Linked DNA regions of Oryzias latipes. The protein of the gene in region 2 interacts with the protein of the main gene of each other region in a pairwise test. Links are inferred from orthologs where the notes say so. Each region holds a gene or a part of one and is shown on either strand. Other genes may lie near its edges.

Region 1 (6,191 bases), on a different chromosome or scaffold from region 2:
TTTGCTTACAAATATTTTTATTATTTAAACTACCATTTAATTTCCATCATAACACACAAAACATAACTTGAAACCCAGTCTTTCAAATGTGACATTTGAATTGAATATATATACTGTGGAAAGCTTTCAATTTAGGTTACACAAAAGTCAGTGAGTTAGAAAAAGCAGCGGAAACCTATTTACAGTTTATTCATCTTGAAAATCCCTAAACGTTGCTTTTTTTTGTTTTTCCCTTGTTTTTTTTCTTTTTAAATAGCTGAGGTCAACTCGAAAAATAAGTCCAACAGCATTTTAGAGGCTGCAATGTAAGAAATCCATTGAAGCATCAATGATGGAGGATGATGCAGACAGTTTAGTCCTCCAGGGTGTAGTTGGGGTTGACAACTAGAACAACTTCCTCCTCCTCTGTGCTCCCAGACTCTGAGCCCTTCAGTCCTGCCTGGGACAGCTCGATTAGGATATGGTCCTAAAAAAAACAGAAATTTGAAATAAATTGACCGGTTTGTTCTATAACGTTTAATTATCTAAAACACCAGGAGGGTTACTCACATAATGCACCAGCCTGTGGATCACCTTCTCTATCAGGCCCTTCTTATTGATGAGCTCCTCCTCTGAGTCGATCTCTGACTCAATCTCCTTCAGATACCAGTTCACCACAGCGTTTTTCTTCAGCTCCTCCTCTTCCTCAGCTGCAGCACAGATGACAACGTTAAAACAAACAAACAAACAAAAAAGGCAAATGCAATGGGGGGGACCGTGAAAATCCAGAAGCCGTACCCTCCTCCACTCTGCGCAGGTGAAGCACCAGCAGGTTGGAGATGCGCTTGTACTCGGAGAACGACAGGCGGAGGGACGGCTTGGACTGAGCGCTGTGCTCCGAGTGGCCGTTCACATCCTCCATGTGGCCATTGACGTGACCATTGACTCCATTTGGAACATTGTTGCCTAGAAACAGGAGCGCTCATGAAATACAAGGTAGTGCTGCCACCCCCCCCCCCCCCCCCCGTATTGATGGGGAGCGTGTCATCACCTTCCTCCTGTTGCTCCTCCTCCTCCACTTCGTCCTCCTGCTCCAGGTTGATATCAGGAGTCTCCACTCGGATGATAGACTTGTTGAGAAGGCGGAAAGCTTCCTTCACATGTTTGGGCTGCACCTGAAGTTGCAGAGAAAAAAATGTCAGACAGAAGGGCGACGCAGGAAACGTTCCAGGTGTTTCGTTTGAGTGAAGGCCGTACCTCATCGCAGCAGTGCATGCGCGCCATGGCTTCAGAAAGGCGAATCATGCTCTCCAGCTGCCGAACGGTTATCCTCCAGGCAGACTTGGAGACGCTTCCAGTGCTGTCTCGCTGGCGGAGGCGCTTGTACTGCTCCACAATGAACTCCTCAGACTCTTTGGAGATCTGGAAAAGGAGGGGACACACTCCAAAAATTAAGGAGTCACATTTTAGGGTTTAATACCATGAAAAATTAAATTGAAAAAAAGCACACACCTTTGGTTTAAACTGTCTGGCAAAAAGCAGGTATCTTCGAATCTCATCCAGAGAATAAAGCCTGTCCACGGACTCCTCCACGCGCGAGTGAAGGTCCACGATTCGTCTTGCGATTGCGTAATCTGTGACCTGACATCGGCGAGGACAGAGGTTATGGGAGGGGGGAAAAAGACACGACAAAACCCTTTCACACAAAATCACACCTCATTGCAGTCGTCCACCAGGATGAAGAAGAGGTCAAAGCGGCTCATGATGGGGGCGGTCAGGTTAACGTTCTGCTTCAGGCTCTTGCTGCGGTCGTAGCGGCCGCCGACGGGGTTGGCTGCAGCTAGGATGGACGTGCGGGCGTTCAGGGTCGCCTGAAACCGCAAAATCCACCTATTTACTCCCCTCACCAGCCTCGCTCTCCCCTTTTTATCTCAAGGCTTTGCAGCATTACCTTCACTCCGGCTTTGGTGATGCTGATGGTCTGCTGCTCCATGGCCTCGTGGATGGCCACCTGGTCTTTGATGTCCATCTTATCAAACTCGTCGATGCAGCACACCCCCTAAAAGCAGACATATGGACGTTTTTTTTTAAATAAGCCTTCCCAGTGGTCTTTTAATACAGATTCCAACTTAGACGAGGAAAGCAAAAACGTAACATGGATCCATGCAAGTAGATGCATCAGAATGGAGGAAACCTATCATCAACGCAATCTTTTCCAAACTGCATTTATTTCGTCTGCTCAAAACAATTTTATTTAAAAAAATACTCAGAAATGCAATTCTAGGCTTAATTTTCTTTCCATCATCAGAAAAATACAAACACAAAGTACATCAGAGTGTGTCTTTAACCCGGATGCCTTACGTTATCCGCGAGCATCAGAGCTCCCGCCTCAATGACGAACTCGTGCGACTCTTCGTCCCGGACGACAGCCGCCGTCAGACCTGCGGCGGTGCTGGCTTTCCCGCTGGTGTACACCGCTCTGGGAGAGAACTCCTCCACGTGCCTGAACACAAACGACCCCGTTACTTCCTGAAGTAGTTCACCTTTAAGCGGTTCAGCGGCGTGTTCCTGCCGGGCGCGTCACGCACTTCAGGAACTGGCTTTTTGCGGTACTCGGGTCTCCGACGATGCAGACGTTGACGTCTCCTCTCAGAGAGGTCCCCTCCATCGTCGTCTTGGGAACGCCACCGAACAGCATCAGCAGGATACCGCGCTTCACCTCGTCATTTCCTACAAGATCAGGCAGCAGATGTGACTTTTGTTTTTTAAAAACAAAGGAGAAGCGGTAGAACAGAGGAGGTAGAACCAACCATGGATGGTGGGGAAGAGGCTGGTGCACAGGTTGTGGTACAGATTCTTGTCCTGACTCATTTCAAACACTTTCTCCCATTCTTTTTCTGTCATCTGACTCTTGATGCTCTCAGCTGTCTGTTCTTCATCACGAAGCTCCTTCCCACCGAACTACACACAATTATTCACAGTTATACGACTGTTGGAGCCTGAAATGTGTGTGTGTGTGTGTGTGTTTGGGGCGGAGTTCTTACTCTTGGGTTGGTCGGTGCGACGTTGCAGGCTAGAAAAGCCAGTCGGTACGACAACTCCCTGACTCCCAGAGCTTTCAGTCCCCTCAAACCCTCCGCCTCGTAGCCCTGGCGCCCCCCGCCCACACGGGAACTGGTTTCAGCTCGCAAACCTGACAACAAGACATTCAAAACACCCAACCGTGAAGGGTCAAAGTTCAAAATGCAAAAGTAAAAAGGTACAGTTCACCCACAGTGAAGTCTTACCAGGAGTGCTGAGCTGAGAGACGTCCGGCACGACGATGAGTGTCCCGGTGAAGTCGCAGCGATCTCCGGCCTGGGCCGTCTCCACAGCCTCTGCCCTCAGGACGACCTCCAGCGACCGCGGGATTGAACCCCGGGGCAGCTCTGCTTGCGTCTCCTGGATACGCACCTGAGCACACAAGTATCACCCTAAATCAGACACAGAACAGCGACCAGCTGCACGACCGCTCCATCACACACTACCTTCTGAAAATCAATGAACTTGGACTTGTGCGTGTCGAGGTGGAAGCGGGAGCGATTGCTGCAGACGGGGTTTCTGCAGATGGTGGGGGGCGAGTACTTGAACTGCTGCGGGACGTCTTTGATCACCATCTGGCAGTCCATGCACACGAAGGTGCCGCTCACCTGCAGCCGCAAGGCATCCATCATCGACAAGTCCACATTTCTGTGATGAAATGTGGTCGTTTAGGGGGAATCTTACCAGCTCAGGGTGGACTGGGTGGGTCCTCACCACCTGACAGCTGATCTTCACCAGGGTACCGATCCGCATGGAGGACAGCTCACGGATCCTGTAAAGGACACAGAAAAGACCGTCGATTTGACCGTCTTGATTGACATTTATGAACAGTGATAGTTCCTGCATCGCTCTTACTTGTGTCTTGTAGGCAGATCCTCGATGGCTACGTAAAACTCTTTGGTGAGCGGCACGTTCCCGTGATCTCGAGCAAAGTTGCGCACTGCTCTGCACAGGTACGGATACACCCTGAAAATGCAGAAGTCCGACTTTAACACAAGCGGCCCCCTTCCAACCAAAAGCTGTTCTGTTCCTTCATGAAGTAACAGATCAATAATGTGCAAATACAAAATACAATTTACGCACAACTTGAAATGACAGCAGCTAAAAACGAACTATGCTTTGCACCAGGGGTTGTGAGACGTCACGTCTTCAGATCAGTGGGTAGATGATGCATTTAAATGCTGCTAGAATGCTGGGTCATCAGAGTTTTAAACTTACTTTGTGAATAATATCTAGTAAATACTTGACATTGTCAGCTGTCATTACAAGTTGTGCGTAAATTGTATTTGTGCGTTTTTAAATTCTTTACATTTGTGCATGTGAATACACAAAATGACCTTCAAATCAAGAATTACACACACAGCACATACACACACACACACACAACTCCAGTGGGTGTATTTGCTCTCCATACTCGCCTGTAGTACTCCTCCTGGATGGTGGTGGCCAGCTCTTGGTTGAAGCCCTCCAGGTCTGTGAAGCTCACCACCAGAGTGTTCCTCTCAGGCCTGATCAGCTCTTCCCCCTCCCGGAGATACTTCACCTCCCCATCGGCGGTCTGGAATCTGCACAGAAGCAAAACTAACCTTAGACTCACTTTATAACCAAGAAAATCTAAATAAAAAGAGGTGTTTAAGCAGGCGATCAACTCGTGATTGACTTGTCAAGGCCGACAACAAAGACTCTTCCTGCTGGATGGATACTCTGATACTCACTCCTCTAAGAAAGCCTGGAATAACTTCTGACATTTCTCCGCCAGCTCGTCCTTCACCGTCGTCCCGGCATGCTCCGCGGTCGCTGTAGCAACGTCCATCCTGCGCTGTAGCAAAACTGCCTCAGAGATTCAAAGGAACACTCCGCGTGTGGAAGGAAGGAGGACACGGTGGCGAGCACAGATCTTCAGTCCCAACAACAGAAGGCGGTTTCGCGCGAAAAGTGAGGCCACGTGACGTTTGGCGCGGTTTTTTCGTCCTATCGGCGCCACGGTGCGGAGTCACTCGCAATATCAGCCAATTAAAAGCGAAACATTGAAGTGACGTAGAAATAGGGGCGTTTCTTTGACTGTCCCTGCGGGATTTTTTTTCTTCCCAGAGAACTTTATTTAAAACGAGAAAATAATACAAAAACAAAATTAATAAATACATAAATAAATACAATAATTTTGTATACAATAAATCTATAATATTTACTTTTGGCGAAAATAACATTTTAAAATATTGTATTGGGGCCGGTTTAGCTCGTGCTGGTTTGCAGCGCCTTCCGTCCGTGAAACCAGGGTTCAAATCCGGGCTGCTCCCTGTTCCCTTCTCTGCTGCTGTGCCGGTCCCAAGCCCGGTTGGATTGAGAGGGTTGTGTCAGGAAGGGCATCCGGCGTAAAATCATTGCCAAATTAACCATGGGACTCATCTTCGAAGGAGGGTTGTTGTGCTGTGATGACCCCTGATGGGAGAAGCCAAAAGTCAACGTATCAATGCATTTAATGTAAGAAGTAAATTGAAATTTGACCATATTACTTTAAATTATTAATTGACTTGTCAAAACAGATAAAGTTAAGACTGTTTATTGAATAGATAAAGTAGATCATTTTCTACAAAGATGAATAAGTCATTCATGAAAGAGAAGGCTATACCGACATGTGTAATTCCCCCAAATGAATCGTTTTAGTAAGAAAGTGGCTCTCTAGAGATCTATCTTTGGGAGGTAGGATTTTACTCAGCAAAGCAGAAGGTATTTCCCGCTTAACATATGCAGCTTTGGCTTTACACGTTGATGATAAAATTATCAAAGAAATTGGCAAAATGCTTTTTAATTTCATCTGGAAAAACAGAACCCATTACTTAAAAAAATGTTCTCATGAACTCCTTTGACAAAGGTGGCCTCAATTTTCTCGATTTTTATACCTTGAATAACACATTTAAATTTATTGGCTAAAACAACTTTTTAGAAATCCCAGCTCCATTTGGAACACTATACCTCTTCATATTTTATCTAAAATTGGTGCCGCTGATTTCTTTCTCATGTGTAATTATGATTTATGTAAAATCCCACTTAAGTTATCTGCATTTTATCGCCAAGCTCTCCTTTCATGGTCCCTTGTATACAAACACAACTTTTCACCTCACAAATATTCT
Region 2 (7,852 bases):
GCGAAGAGCGGCTTTAAACACACAAAGTGTTGCTTAATAATCAGCTGGTTTACATTGTAAAGTGTTGCACATCAACGACGCGCTGCTTTTTTTCTGCAGGAATTCTGTGTAAACAGCAGAAAAGTTCCGGTAGTCGAAACACCGGAGCTAAAACTACGGAGTTAACGGGTTAACCGTCCAACCAGAGTTTCACTAAAAACTCTGAATAAAAGTAAGTATATGAATAATAACCTGCATAAACGTGTGAATAAGGTGTGGCTCAGGAGGATCACCTGATTGGCTGCTCTGCGTCAGGTGCTGCTTCAGCTGCAGAGCTCCAGGAGTCGGCACCGACATCAGGCTCTTGAATTCATTGGAGCAGCCGGACATTTCTCCAGACTGCATTGCTGGAAGACACAAATAAACAATGAGGGTCAGCGACCTCCTCCACCTGACCCGTCAACCTGCAGTCCTCAAGGTTCTGTAGATGTCCCCGCCCTCTGCTGGTTACCTGGTTAGTGTGTTCTATAGGAGGAGGTTTAGAAATAAGCAACAAAATCGATCCCTCTACACCTAAAATACAACACTGTTTCAACAAAAACATGAATGGATTCAGCTTTAATGCTATTTCCTTTATTTTTAAGACTAAAAAGGCTTTTCTATTAGCTGGTGAATGTGTATGTTTGTGGTTAAAGGTTCCTCTTTTGTTTACTTAATTTTTTTTTTTAAACGGGTTTTAAAACCAAACTAAATTGGTCTTAGTGTGATAATTTGCCAAATCATCTTTTTAACCAAATCTAGTTCAATTTAAAATCAAACATATTCTGCTTGCTGCTGTGGGAATATGGTTAGGTTAGGAATCTGGTTAGGTTAGGAATCTGGTTAGGTTAGATATCTGGTTAGGTTGGGATTCTGGTTAGGTTAGGAAGCTGATTAGGTAGAAATCTGATTAAGGTAGGAACCTGGTTAGGTTAGGAACCTGGTTAGGTTAGATATCTGGTTAGGTTAGATATCTGGTTAGGTTGGGATTCTGGTTAGGTTAGGAAGCTGATTAGGTAGAAATCTGATTAAGGTAGGAACCTGGTTAGGTTAGGAAGCTGGTTAGGTTAGATATCTGGTTAGGTTAGGAAGCTGCTCAAAACCCAATTTCTAACTGCATCCATGGCAGACACAGAGGTAGAGGCTAAGAAAGGTTAAGAGCATCTTCACATCTGATGACATCAACCACAGAGTTACTAAATAAAACAAACTAAGTCACTCCCTCCTTGAGTCTGTGGTAAACCACAAACAGACCAAGCAGCTCCTACCTATCTGCTTGGCGCGCCTAACGAGCTGAGCTGAGCCACTCACAAACAGCTGCTCCAGAGTCTTCTGCTGGGGTTTGCTCGGTTTGGAAGCAGTTCTGGAAAAGATGAAAATGAGGACGGCCTTTCAGAAAACAGACGTGTCATGATTCATGTGCTGCTGAGCCAAATGTTTACAATAAACTTTGTTGTGTTTCAGGACAGTACTTCACTGTTTGTAACATAAAAGCTAATTCTAAAGCACAAATCTGAACCAACAAAGGTTTAACCAATGAACAGCCTTGAAGCGTCCTGACAGATCTCTCTGATCACTCCTCCAGGACAAAGCTGCACTCACAGCGTGGCGGCGCAGGCAGAAGACGACACGCCGCCGTAGTAGAAGCCATCTTGACACAGGCGCTGTCTGAGGCCGCCCCCCTTCCCCTTCAGGGTGTTTGGGCCTTTTCCAGAGAACGATGACTGCAGCTCCGCCCTCTTTGAGCTCATCTTCTTATACTGGGCCTTGACATGGTACTGGCAGTACTGGCATTCGTACTGCAGAGAGGAGCGGATCGTGAAGGGAGGTGAAGGAGGAGGAGGAGGTGAAGAAACGCGGTTTCACTTAGGACTCACCAAGTTGACGATTTGAGAACAGGGATCTCCGTTCTTCTTCGAGGCTTTGCAGGTGCCGTAGTCCTGAGCTTCGCCCAAAACGAGCACCTTCTGTGGGTGATCCACCGTCAGACTCACCTAAAAAAATAATTTTAAAAATCCATTTCTGAATAAGCAAAATGAACCCGAATGCTGACATTCTGCTGATTCTTCAGCAGACATTATTTGAAGCTTTCTGGGATCGTCTCAAGATTCCCGATTGCACTTAAGGTACTAGGTTATTAAAAACAAAGGGGGAAACATTTGATTTCTTTAAAGACTTAAACCCCTCAACCTTTAGCTAAACCAGTGCTTCTCAAATAGTGGGGCATGTGATGCCGGGGGGCAAATTTATCGGGGGCCGGTGGGGCTCAGTGCTAGGAAAAAAAACTGTAGCCCACTATTGGTTTCCTATGATGTGTTGAATGACAGAGTTTGTATCAGCCTGAAACTGTGAATGGGCGTCTCTGGCGCACGGAGCACAGCCTGGATCATGGTTCCTTTAGATTCCTCAGCTCATGCTAGTAATGTCATTCTTTATTAAGAATTGTAGACATTTTGATGACGTATCTTTATTTTCCATCAATGTATTCTTTGTCTGCCTGTGGTTTAGTTGGTGTCAGTATTTGACATACAGACAGCAGGTAATGCAGGGAAACAGCTGCACTTTAGGAGATCAGAAATAAACAATCCATCATTTAGAAAAAAAATCATTAAAAAAACCATGCCTCTGGTTCGGCCTTTGTGACAAATGTTAGAACCCTTTGTGGCCCCAGGGTCCAAACGTTTGCCCACCCCTGATGTAAAGTGTTCTGAAAGGGATTTTGATCCAATACTCTGCACTACTGTTGTAAAAAAATGGTTTTGAGGATTTTGAGGTAAACATCATCAAGGAGGGAAAAAATACAACTTTCAAATAAATTCCCAAAGTTCAATCAGGAAAAGTTTTCATGATCCTGAAACGGAACCGGAAGGATCAACCAGCAGACGTCCTGTTCTCAATCATTTAATGTTTTCATTAAATACTTGTCTTTTTGACCAAATGATTGTTTTTCAAACAACAAACAAGTTGAGTTTTCTAAGAAGAATTCGATTTGATCAAATATTCCGGTCATGTTTAAGTTTTTCTGTCTGCGGTAAGAATGAGGACGTGCTTCCATGGCCGCCGTCCGTCTGCTCACCCCCTTGTATCCGTCGTTCTGCTTCATGGGGTTCGGGTTCAGGAGCCCGATCGCCGTTCCCGGTTCCATCTTCCAGTGCTCCTTGTGGACTTCTCCGAACAGGAGGAGGGAAACGAACACGTCCAGGCCGTGGAGGTCGTTGAGTTTCCAGATGCTGAACGTTTTTCCCTGTGAGGAACGGAACACCGATCATCCTGCAGTTTGTCCTGACATGGCCGTGTTTTAAGAAAGCAATCAGAAGAAAAAAAATCTCCAGCAGCAAATATGGACGTTTTTTTCCCACAATTCAAAGTAATAAGCAATTCTCAATGGATAATGTAATTTGCGATTTGATGATGCACTTTAAAAAAATGCATTTTGCAATGCAAATTACAATTTCATCTTACATTTTTAAAATTGCAATATTAAATGAAAACAAACTGTTTTTTTTAAACCATAACTCAAATGTAAACTGCAGTTCAATGTACAAGTCAGCCCTGCTTGTTCTTAAATACAATATTTAAAAAAAAGAATTCATTATTTCCTTTAAATTAATTCTAAAGTAACTTAAACTCCACCAGGGGTTTGAAGTTTCCTTTACTGTTGGAAAACTTTTTCCAGCCCAAAATACAACGAGACTGCAACTAGATTGCAAACTTAAAGGCTCCCAATCGGGATGGGAGGGGGGGGGGGGGGGGGGGGAGTCCTGCCTCCACTGCCTTTTGGTCAACCAATTAAAAATATCGAAGATGCTCAACCAGCCAATAGAATCGTTTGACATGGGAGGTTAAGGAAGAGAATCCGCCTTGAGCTCCCCTGTTTGTGACCACGGCTCATAGAAGTTGGTTTTGGAGCTCGTCTTTGGGGCGTCTGTGTCCTCCCCCCATACGTATGTTTGTGGTTATGTTGTATAAATATGTCCTCTCTGGCCATCTTTTCGCGTTTTGTAAAAGCGTTTTTGGCCAAAATAAAAACCCCTGTGTTGTTTTCTAGGACATAGTTTCTGTAGGGCGGTGGGAGTTCATTAGAAATCGTGATCCGCTGCAATTTGAATAAAGAAACACTCAAAAAAATAAATTTTAAGATTCTACTCTTCATATGTGTCCTTCATCATTAAGGGAAATGCCACAAAAAAACATATTTCTTGGAGGGGGTTTATAAGTTCTTTTTGAAGAAATTTGAAGAGTTTATTTTAGTTTGCAGCAGATTTTCTAGTGTAGATTTAATTGTCGTGTTTTGATGATTTCAAACTGATCTTTTAAACAAAAATCAGAAGACTATTTTTTTTTTAAATAATATTTGTGGCTCTGGACGGATGAGCAGGATGAGCAGGATGAGCAGCAGGAGCGGCGCTGCTTGCTTACGCTGCGACTGCTTTGTGGCGTTGCCTTGTCGACCAGCACGCCAAACGTCACCCAGTCGCTGTCCTCCAGCTTCTCCCGCGTCAGACGCTCCGGCACCTGTGACAGACGGATCAGCCGCCGACTGGCCATCTTCTGGTCCATCTCGACGGAGGAAACCCGCGGTTTTCTGATTCAGACGGAAAGCAAACGCATGAAGCAAAAAGACAGCAGAGTGAGCGTTCGTCACTGGCAGTTTCATTACACCTGAGTCTGAGTCCTGAGTATTTCTCAACGGCCACGTCTTTGGGGGGAGGGGGAGGAGGAAGAGGGGCCGGCTTAGGCCTTCCTGCCGATGCCGCTGGCGTGCTGGGACGGGCGGGAGGGGAGCGAACGGGAGCTGCAGCTTTGCTCTCCAGAGGCTGGAAGGAGCTGCCGATCTTTATCTCCACCAACGGGCCTCTGTCCTCTGACGAGAAAACCACGGACAAAAATGTATTCACACAAAAACAAAGCAAATCTAAGAAGAAAAAAACATCTTTAATCGGATCAAAGATCAGATTAGAATTGAACTGTGTTCATGGGCCCCAAGAACTTTATACGATTATAACAAACGTTTACAAACGGTCAGAACAAATCATGTGGACATGCGCAGAACTCTCTAAAATAACAGAAACGACTGCAAAGGAAGAAATATCGAGTTCTGTTGTAAACAAACAAGCTGCAGCATAGAACAGATGATCTTCTGAACCTGATTTTGTTATGGTTATGGTTAGTATTAAGTGCTTGATGCTTGTTTTTTTTGGCCGCACAGAGCCGGGTTAGGATTAAGCTAATATGTGCCAACAACAACATTTATCCGTGGAGGCAGTTCAAATCCATGCAGTCATGCTGGCGTCTGCATCTTGGCTGCACGTTAGTCTGTGGGAATAACATCAGCCTTAATTTTGTCTGGACATGAGTGGAAACACAAATCCACGTGATTGTTTACACGGTTTCTCAGGACTGTGCTGCATTTGTTGGGGCGGTCTGAGCTCTGCTCGGAGACACAGTTCTCCCATGAGACACTGCAGTTCACTCGCCCAGAGAGGCGGGGCGGACACCCTAACAAAGCACCCCCACTGCCCGTAAACACAAAGCTATGAGTCCGGCTGCTCTGCTCAGAGACGCACTTCGCTCGCGTGGAGCAGCTGGCCGGTCTTGTTTGCGTCCCAAAGCCTCCTCTGGAGCGCCGCACCGTCTTTGCATGACCTAACCCCACGATCGGATCAACAATCGGCATAACCCATCCATCTTTATCGGAAAGACATTTTGATCCGGATGAGTCTGACCGGGGCCGAGTATTCCGAACGGCGCATTTTTATTCCCATCAGGCGTTCTTTCCGATTACTTTTGTCCACGTAACCCCAGCTAGAAATGTTGGAAATGTTTTGTATTTTTACCGGAATACGAAGCAGCTTTAGCAGCGTGAGCCACTCTCTGTTTGCGTTTGAATGAGTCTGCATTGTTCAGCTGAGAGGAGAAGTCTGAGGACTCCTGCAGTTTGGAGCTTCCGGATGTCGCTGCGCCGGATGTCGACGGCGCTGCAGATAAAAATCGAGAAAGACAAACGTTAAGGAAGCGCGTGTGTAAAACAGCAAAGGCCGGTTAGCAGCCTGGCTTTACCTGCTTGTGATTTGCTTTTTTGTGATCGTTTGGACGGCAGAGGTGCGGCCGGTGGTTTCAAACCCCCAAGTGCTTTAGTGGACGATGAGGCCACATCCTTCTGCTTTGCATCCAGCTGCTCCTGCAGTTTCTTCATCTTCTCCTGCATGAGCCGAAGGACCTCTGGAGAAGCAAAGCGCTGGATGAATTACAGAACCTCGAAACGTGAGTCAGATCTGAAAGCGTTCCAGCACAAACCCTGCAATTCCTCCTTGGACACGTCCGGGTTCTCTCCTCCACGCTCCGCTTTCCCTTCTGCATCCTTCTCCTCATTCTGGATGTCGTCCACATCTCCAAAAAGTTCTGTCACCACATCCTCTGTGGCCAAGATGTCCCCCTCAATGCCGTCTTTGTACTCCTCCTCTTCATCGTCTTCATCAAAGAGGCCTTCCAGGTCGTCGTTTTCCTGCCCTTGTTCTTTACTCGCGCCGCTGTCCTCATCTTCGTCACAGAGGTCTTCCAGGTTGTTGTCTTGTTGCTCTTCACTCGCGCCTCCGTCCTCATTGTCGTGTTCGTCACAGAGGCCTTCCACGCCATCCCCCTGCTCTTGCTCTTCACTCTCGCCCCCGTCCTCATCAATCAGAGCCGTCAAAATCTCCAGATCGTCCTCGCCTGTAAAAACGACATCTTCTTTGTTTCAACCGACCAAAGTTATTTCAAATTCAAAAAATGTCACAACACTTACTGTCCATGTTGGAGGTGATGGATGCGTCACCGGCAGGTTAGTGGCTTACCTGGAAAAATAAAATGCATCAATGTCTCGTTCTGCGACAACAGCAGTACTTTAAGAGTATATTTTTAAAAAGTCCAAATAAACTGAGAAGGAGACTAAGAAAAAGGCTTTTTAAGGGAGGACCGATATTTACTGATCCAAGATTTTGCAGCAGATTGGGAAAGTTTGTCGTTCTAATCTCTGCTCTCGCCCTTTTAGACATTATGGCGATAAAAACAGATCAAATGCAGATTACGTTCTTTTTAAAAACGTAATTTCATACAGAGATGGCCAGAAGAAAAAGAGTACTTTATAAAAAAGCAATAAACTTCCCAAAATGTTGAAAATCTGTAAAATCAAATAAATAATAAAAAACTATAAATGAATGTCTAAAGGCCCGTACACACCGGGACGAATATTCGCCAGGCGTTATTCGCCACGTCTTTTGTGTTCACACCCAGGCGATTTTCGCTGACGATGAGTGGAGGGAACATGCAATTTCATTCCCTGACATTAGATGGCGCTTAATGTAAACAGAAATACTCCTGTACACAAGGTGGCGCTGCGCAACTTTACGCTTCTTAAAGTCGCTTTTCACTCAGAAGAAGAGAGCAAGTATTTACGCGCTTGTCAGAATCATACAAAGAAAACATGAATATTTCAAGCACCAGTAGCTCCAACTGGTACTTGGTTCGGGGATATTTTAGAATGTCCGTCATTATTGCTTCGCGGCTGTGTAGACGCTACTTGGCGTCTATCTTCTTCGCTGGTATGTGTGCTCAGCAAGGCAGTTTTGTGTTTGAGCGCCCCCAAGTTGTGTTTTACTGTAACTTCAGAAGCTCCAGACACGTGTGAAAAAGCGCCGTTCTCATTGGTCGAATAGATTTCGACGCGTCGGAAAAAAAAAACGAACCCGAGGCGTTTTTTTTTGACGCTTTGGCGCGTGGCGTTTTTTCGCGTCGGTGTGCACACTCACATTGGTGCCCTTTGTTTAGTCACGAGGCGTTAAACGTCGGCGAAAAT
Region 3 (6,170 bases), on a different chromosome or scaffold from region 2:
GCAAGACTGTGTAAATATTCAGACATATTTAGCCGCGCACCCTAATTTAAATCACTGGTTGTGTGTTTTAAATTTTCCTGTGATGTGTACTTTTTTTTGCATGTTCTGAATATATTGTTCCAGGGCCTTTATGGATGAAAACTCTGAAACTGCTGTGCCAAACTAACAACTGTTGTGCTTAAAATGTCATTGAAGCCGTGGGATACTGATAAAATCTTGTGTTGCTTGAAATGTTTGCAAAGTAAATTATCCTCGAATGCAACTCTTTTTGTCTGTACTGTTAATGTTTGGTTATCGAACTGACGAAGCAGGGTTTTTTTAATGTTTATTTACTAAGTATTCCACATGAAAGGAGAAACAAACAAGCCACTTTTGTAAAATATTTTTCCAAGATAACAGTTTCTTGTGTAACGCACTACCTGTAGCCTCAGCCGATGAAGAGTCATGCATCAAAACTAGCAGCTCGGTGTGTTTTTGTGTCTGCTGCGAACGCTGGAGTATCGTTTCTGTGCTTCTGATGCCAAATAATGTGCACTTTTATTGTGGAGAAACAATAGTTTTCCAAGTCCTTTTTAACATGCTCATTGTGACCCAGTGCATGCCGTGTTTCAGCGTCTGTCCTTGATCTCGAGATTTCTCCAGGTGTGTTCATGATTTATAGTGCTTTATTCAAAAAATAAAGAAATCCCAACATGTGCCGAGTAGGAGTCAAAAATCAAACTGCAGCAACAGCACCAAACCAGTGACCGGTAACATTTAGAGGAGAGCCAAAGCTGTGTGGACTTTGTGTTGCATAGAAATGCTAAGCTGGTCAGTCTTGTATTAAGGTTTGTGAGAGGAAAGTGCATGTGCGTGCGCAGCCCTCTAGCCCTTCAGGCAGACGTATAAATAAAGTCAGAGTGCAGCTGCAGCCTTGATGCATCCACTCCATTGCAGACAGACACAACTGACCTAAAAAAAAACAGAGAAAAAAAAAGAAAAAGATCTTACAACAAGATCCAGAAAACCTACGACACCGACCTACCTTCTCACATTTTCTCCCTGATAATAATTTGTTAGCATAACAGACCTGACGTGCAGATATACACAATTTCATGAATGAATGGCTCTCCCTGGTTACTGTTTATATCAAGAAGAAAGTCTGTGCTAATTCTTTTAAAAGAAAAAACTACCGTGATTAAAATAATATGTTCAAATGCACCTTTCCATCATATCTGCCTCAAATGCTCTCCGCTTCCCTTCAGCTCGGCAAGCAAAGACTGGTTGGTAGCCACCAGAGACCTGCAAAAAAGAAAGAAAAATGATCTTGCTGTGCAAAAACAGCGCTCTGCACGTCAGCCTGCAGGATCTCCGTACTTGTGGCTCTCTTGCAGCATATTTGAAAGGTCCTGGATCTTTTCAGCTTCATGCACTTTCCTCCTCAGTCCCTCGATGTCCTTCTTTAGCTCCTCCACTTCTGTCTGAGCCTCTAAAGATGAGCAAACACAAGCTAGTAGTTTCTAAAAAAGATCTCCACACAACGATTGCGTTTCCACCCACCTCTGATCTGAGTCATCGGTGAACTTCTTATCATTGATTTGAGGTACTGACGCTCTAACTTGATGAGCTGCTTCTGCAGTGTGACATTTTCCTCCAAGACGATCCTCAGCTGCTCGTTTAGTTTCCCCTGCGTCAAAAAGCGGCAGTATAGTATGCTGATCAGTGTCAACGCGCTCCAATGCAAAGTTTTTATCTATGATTAATGAACTTACCTCGGTTCTACGAGTTTCCTCCAGCTGAGCAGAGAGCTTCCTGACTTCAGTTTTGTGTTCTTCCTCCCGGGCAACAGCTTGAATTCTGAGTGTATCAACATCCTGCCTTAAGGTCCTGACCTCAGCCTCTCGACTGGAAATGTCGCTCTCCATCATAGAGAGGATTTGGACAGCTTGAGCTGGAGTTTAAAATAGAGAAAGTGAGAAGACATGCATCTTGACAGGATCTTGTAATTAGAAACCACATTTCCCAAAGCAAGCTCACACAGGAAGTTGTTGTTATGGTGCAGTGACCTCTCGCCCCTCCAGTGTTTGTCAACGAGGTTCAGAAGCATCTCCAGGGGCTTCCGGTAAGTACCCTGAGAATGGAATTCGCAGAGGCTGTAAGTTTTCTATAAAAAGATCCTTGCATAAATAAAGAAAGGTTTATGATTTAGAGTATAAATCAGTCGGAGAGCTGAACTGAATGTTAACCCTTTTTTTCCTTCCAGCTTGTTGTTTCAGGCTGCTGCTCCCGTCTGCCGTGTTGATGCTAGAGTAGGTGAGTCTTGCAGGGTGTAAGATGGGGTTAGAGGACTCAGACAGAGTCAAACCGGGTTGCAGTGGACTGGCAGGACGGATGTTGATCAATGAGGTGCTACGACACTGGCTTTGATCTGAAAAAGTCATGTACATTCAGAGTTCCAAGGAAGTGAGGAATGTGAACTTTGGCAAAATTCCACAATAAATAGCAGTTGTTAAATACACAATATAAATAAATATATATATATATATATATATATATATATATATATATATATATATATATATATATATATATATATATATATATATATATATATATATATATATATATATATATATATATATATATATATATATATATATATATATATATATATATATATAACCAGGGTTTGGAGTAAAATGGCCCTTAGCTTCGTGTCTGATTTGTTTAAAGGACAGCTTCTGGTTTGGAAGTCCTCTGTCTGCACTGTGTTTCTCTACAAAAGGACCGAAGGACACTTTAGGCCTTTCAGCTACTTTAGATGAGGTAGAGTTTTTCATTGGAGGTGTCTCCTTCATCTGTAGCCCTCTGGATACAACAACATCTGTAAATTCACAGAAAGGCACAAATATGTTTTCATCTTTTAGTGTCAGACATTTTTATGGAGTTGACATCTAGCTCTCCCTGGTGGACATTTATGTTTCTGCTTAAACAATTGAAAATATTATAGTTAGTCAACAATGAGGCAAACACCACCAAAAATCTCTTTTTATTGCCATGAACTGTTTCCTTAAATGTTAGGGAAAAATATGATGCATTATGAATTGGTTTACAAAATCTCTTATTCAGACCAACTTAAATACATTTTAGCTGCTTTAGCAACTGCTGCAATCCATCTGCTTACTAGTGCTCTGATATACACACAGATAATTAAATCATTAAATAAATACCCAAAAACACACTTACCATTGATATTGGGTGAATATCTGAGGATGGATTTAGTAGATTCCTACAAGCAAAGGGTGCCGTCATTCATGCAAGCATAGGGTGACTATTTTTTTTTAATCAGACATGGAGAAAAAGAAAGTCACCTGTTTTGGAGTTGAACTCTTCTTCTCTGTGAAATTTTGTAATATTTCCTCCTTGGGTTCTAGAATAAGGTTTCAACGTGAAGAAAGAACGTCAGCAGGTTTGGTGTGATTAAAAATTACCTTTAAGGGTCCTTACCTTCTCCTTTCCTGTAAACGGAGTCGCTGACTCTTTTAGATTGGTCTCCAAGGTCAGCCTCGACTCTGTTTAACACAATATCCTGACTTTCTGCTGAGAGTGACAGCCTCTTGGTCAAACGGTCGACCAAAGCCAGACGAAACCTGCTGCTTCTGACAGCAACAGGCACAGAACAGAGAAATAACTAATTAAAAGGTTGAAATATACATTAAAAACCACATATTTGATGCTTCCAGGCTTCAATAACAAGCTAGTTTAAGAAAGCAGGTTTGATGGAAATTAACGAATAGATTTATTACAAAAGGATGAAACAAGATGAAAAAAACCTTGAGATAAAAGTGTGTGTATTGCAGCTTTATAATATACCGCTGGATTTCCATCATCTGAGCTCCATACAGTTTCTGAATTTAGACCAGATTGGTGTTTAAAGCCTGCATTAAGAAGGTTTTGTGCATTAAACTGATTTTGTGCTCGGCGTACCTTTGATCTTCAGCCAGATTCAGAGAGCATCTCTTCTGCTGAGGAGGAAGATCAGAGGAGAACTGCATGATGGCAACTTTGCGTTCCGTCTCTCTGACCGAGCAGCTGTCTGCAAACCCAAAAGCTCATTACGATGTCGGGAACTTGACAGAAAACAGTCACAAAAACAGGCCCAGATGACTCCAGCTTACCAAGCTTTCGCAAGCTGGGCAAGGCGTGCACGATATAAGCCCAGTAGTGTGGGCAGTTTTTGGTGAGAGGGTTGAGCCTGAGGTCCAGCTCTCTTAAAACAGGAAGCTGGAACAGAGTTTTCACCTCTTCAAGAGATGGTATGCAGTTATGATAAAGAATCAACCTCTCCAGTTTTTTTAAATGCTGCAGCCCCTAAAGAAAGAACAGGAACCAGATTTGTAAGCATTCATCCAACAATGGAAATAATAGTCACATGAAATAAAATAAAAAAAATGACTGTGATTTGAAATCAGTTTAATATAAATTCTGAAGAGACTTTTTTTTATAGTATAAAGTATTTTCTTAATATAAGAAAAATTAAAAATATCAAACCTCCACAGAAACCAGGGCGTTGTAGGAAAGATCCAGAGACTTCAGGCGAATGAAGTTATTCAGAGCGTTCCCTAGATGTCCAATCTTCTCCTCTAACGTTCCTGGGAGGCTCAGTGACCGGACATCACCTGCGCATCAAACACACAACAATGAATGACCAAAAGATGACGGTTCATCATAAAATAGCTTTGAATAGCTAATCTGCTTTCAGTCAGACAGAAAAAATGTTTTACGCGGGGTTTTTGTTTTTCCAATGCACAGGTGAATGAAACTCTTACCGAGACACGGATGTTTTAGTTGTAATCTGTCGCGTATCCATTGCTCTGAGATTGTTGTTAGACACTCCGTCGCCATACTTTTCAAACTTTGCTGCCTTCAAGTGCTGTCGTGAAAAAACGACTTCAATGAAAGAAACAAAAATAACACAGTCAGTGTGCAACGGAGTAAAGTTTTAAATTTATGAGGAAAAAATTCAGTTAAATACTCTGTCGCATGAGTATGTCACACACTAACACAAAACCCTCTTTAAAATGGTAACTTTTTAGTAGTTAACAGCGACCTAAAAATAACGATTTACTCGTTTACTCGACAGAACCTAAAATGTTTTTTTTAAACAAAGAATTATATTTCCAATAAAACAAGAATAAATAACGTTTAACAAAAAGTGTTAACCGATCTTTGCTAGTTTGATCATTATTAATATGGTTGACAACGTCTCAGAATTTACAAGGGACTTTGAACGCCTCCTTTGGAGCATGCGCAGTGCTCTGAAGACATTCTGTCACGTGTGAACACAAACATTGTTCTGCTCCTCCTTGCCCCAAAGTTTAGTCTTTCTGTTCAGTCCAGTTATAAAAAGGGGCAGCGTCAGTAGTTTCATTTGAACTTTAAGTAAAAATATTGTCACTTTAGTTCCGGTGTGTTTGCAGGTTTGTGTTCCGGCGCGCTTTCCTGAATGGCGTCAACAGAGTGGATGGCATGTTGTAGTAACATCATTCTGTCCACCACAGCTTTATACTTTTCACGCAAACTCTTCAAGGTTCGTCTCTTATTTTATATTTAAAACTTGTAGAATGCTTTTTGATAAACAGAGTATACTTCAATAAAGATGAGGCTTTTTTTTATAATACACCAGCTACTAAAAAGTAATCTTTTATAAAATTGATTATGCTTGCCTTCGTCAACATCAGTGTGTTTATGTTTTCCCTTTAAGAGTATGGTCACAAATTCTCAATATATTAAACAGACTATAATCTCATGTTCTGCAGGATCACAGGGGCCCCTCAATAGGCCTCTTCCTGCTTGGTCTCTCTGCCACGCTTTGGGTCCTCCTGCCTTCAAGCTCACACCTGGCCTCTCTCAAAAAGCAAGCCACTTGGGCTGGGGAGGTGCTGGCACCAGTGCTGGTTGCTTTTGAATTCCTGTGGCTCAGCGAGGATCACGGCACCGCATGGACCCTCCTGATTGGCTCCTGTCTGCTACTGGGACTCTCAGACTGGCTGTCGGCTGAAACTCTAACTGTGTTGACTCGCTGCCTGGGTCTGTCGTCTCTGTCCTGCTGCCTGATGGTGTGTCTGTTTGCTGGTAATGTTTTGGGTGCTGTAGGAGGTGTAGCCCTCAGTTTGCCATTACTCATGGAG

Evidence for each region. The genes of interacting proteins can lie anywhere in the genome.
Region 1: the proteins of mcm10 (region 2) and mcm6 interact in binary tests that used the Homo sapiens proteins (3 or more experiments, as listed by UniProt). The two-hybrid records come from large-scale screens. The link is inferred for Oryzias latipes from reciprocal best matches to the Homo sapiens genes MCM10 and MCM6.
Region 3: the proteins of mcm10 (region 2) and cep72 interact in a two-hybrid assay, tested with the Homo sapiens proteins (2 studies listed by BioGRID and IntAct). The two-hybrid records come from large-scale screens. The link is inferred for Oryzias latipes from reciprocal best matches to the Homo sapiens genes MCM10 and CEP72.

Annotation. Positions count from the first base shown.
Region 1 is NC_019875.2:17,213,075-17,219,265, forward strand, and holds mcm6 (DNA replication licensing factor MCM6), read right to left. Parts: upstream 4,977-6,191; 5' UTR 4,874-4,976; coding exon 4,776-4,873; intron 4,626-4,775; coding exon 4,479-4,625; intron 4,027-4,478; coding exon 3,916-4,026; intron 3,833-3,915; coding exon 3,745-3,832; intron 3,669-3,744; coding exon 3,507-3,668; intron 3,433-3,506; coding exon 3,267-3,432; intron 3,173-3,266; coding exon 3,024-3,172; intron 2,941-3,023; coding exon 2,790-2,940; intron 2,710-2,789; coding exon 2,568-2,709; intron 2,483-2,567; coding exon 2,341-2,482; intron 2,039-2,340; coding exon 1,931-2,038; intron 1,851-1,930; coding exon 1,695-1,850; intron 1,621-1,694; coding exon 1,492-1,620; intron 1,402-1,491; coding exon 1,237-1,401; intron 1,155-1,236; coding exon 1,031-1,154; intron 946-1,030; coding exon 778-945; intron 690-777; coding exon 550-689; intron 467-549; coding exon 353-466; 3' UTR 1-352. UniProt on the Homo sapiens protein: Acts as a component of the MCM2-7 complex (MCM complex) which is the replicative helicase essential for 'once per cell cycle' DNA replication initiation and elongation in eukaryotic cells.
Region 2 is NC_019881.2:2,769,268-2,777,119, forward strand, and holds part of mcm10 (protein MCM10 homolog), read right to left. Parts: intron 6,852-7,852; 5' UTR 6,810-6,851; coding exon 6,803-6,809; intron 6,730-6,802; coding exon 6,316-6,729; intron 6,241-6,315; coding exon 6,079-6,240; intron 5,997-6,078; coding exon 5,856-5,996; intron 4,883-5,855; coding exon 4,681-4,882; intron 4,604-4,680; coding exon 4,438-4,603; intron 3,263-4,437; coding exon 3,095-3,262; intron 2,013-3,094; coding exon 1,896-2,012; intron 1,818-1,895; coding exon 1,621-1,817; intron 1,382-1,620; coding exon 1,287-1,381; intron 387-1,286; coding exon 273-386; intron 1-272. UniProt on the Homo sapiens protein: Acts as a replication initiation factor that brings together the MCM2-7 helicase and the DNA polymerase alpha/primase complex in order to initiate DNA replication. Additionally, plays a role in preventing DNA damage during replication.
Region 3 is NC_019874.2:16,682,523-16,688,692, forward strand, and holds cep72 (centrosomal protein of 72 kDa), read right to left. Parts: upstream 4,977-6,170; 5' UTR 4,885-4,976; coding exon 4,809-4,884; intron 4,659-4,808; coding exon 4,531-4,658; intron 4,351-4,530; coding exon 4,158-4,350; intron 4,076-4,157; coding exon 3,967-4,075; intron 3,639-3,966; coding exon 3,487-3,638; intron 3,410-3,486; coding exon 3,351-3,409; intron 3,269-3,350; coding exon 3,226-3,268; intron 2,864-3,225; coding exon 2,663-2,863; intron 2,408-2,662; coding exon 2,226-2,407; intron 2,111-2,225; coding exon 2,017-2,110; intron 1,931-2,016; coding exon 1,752-1,930; intron 1,667-1,751; coding exon 1,540-1,666; intron 1,469-1,539; coding exon 1,357-1,468; intron 1,282-1,356; coding exon 1,209-1,281; 3' UTR 1,202-1,208; intron 952-1,201; 3' UTR 313-951; downstream 1-312. Other genes in the region: uncharacterized protein LOC101162471, read left to right, coding at 5,486-5,569, 5,799-6,170. UniProt on the Homo sapiens protein: Involved in the recruitment of key centrosomal proteins to the centrosome.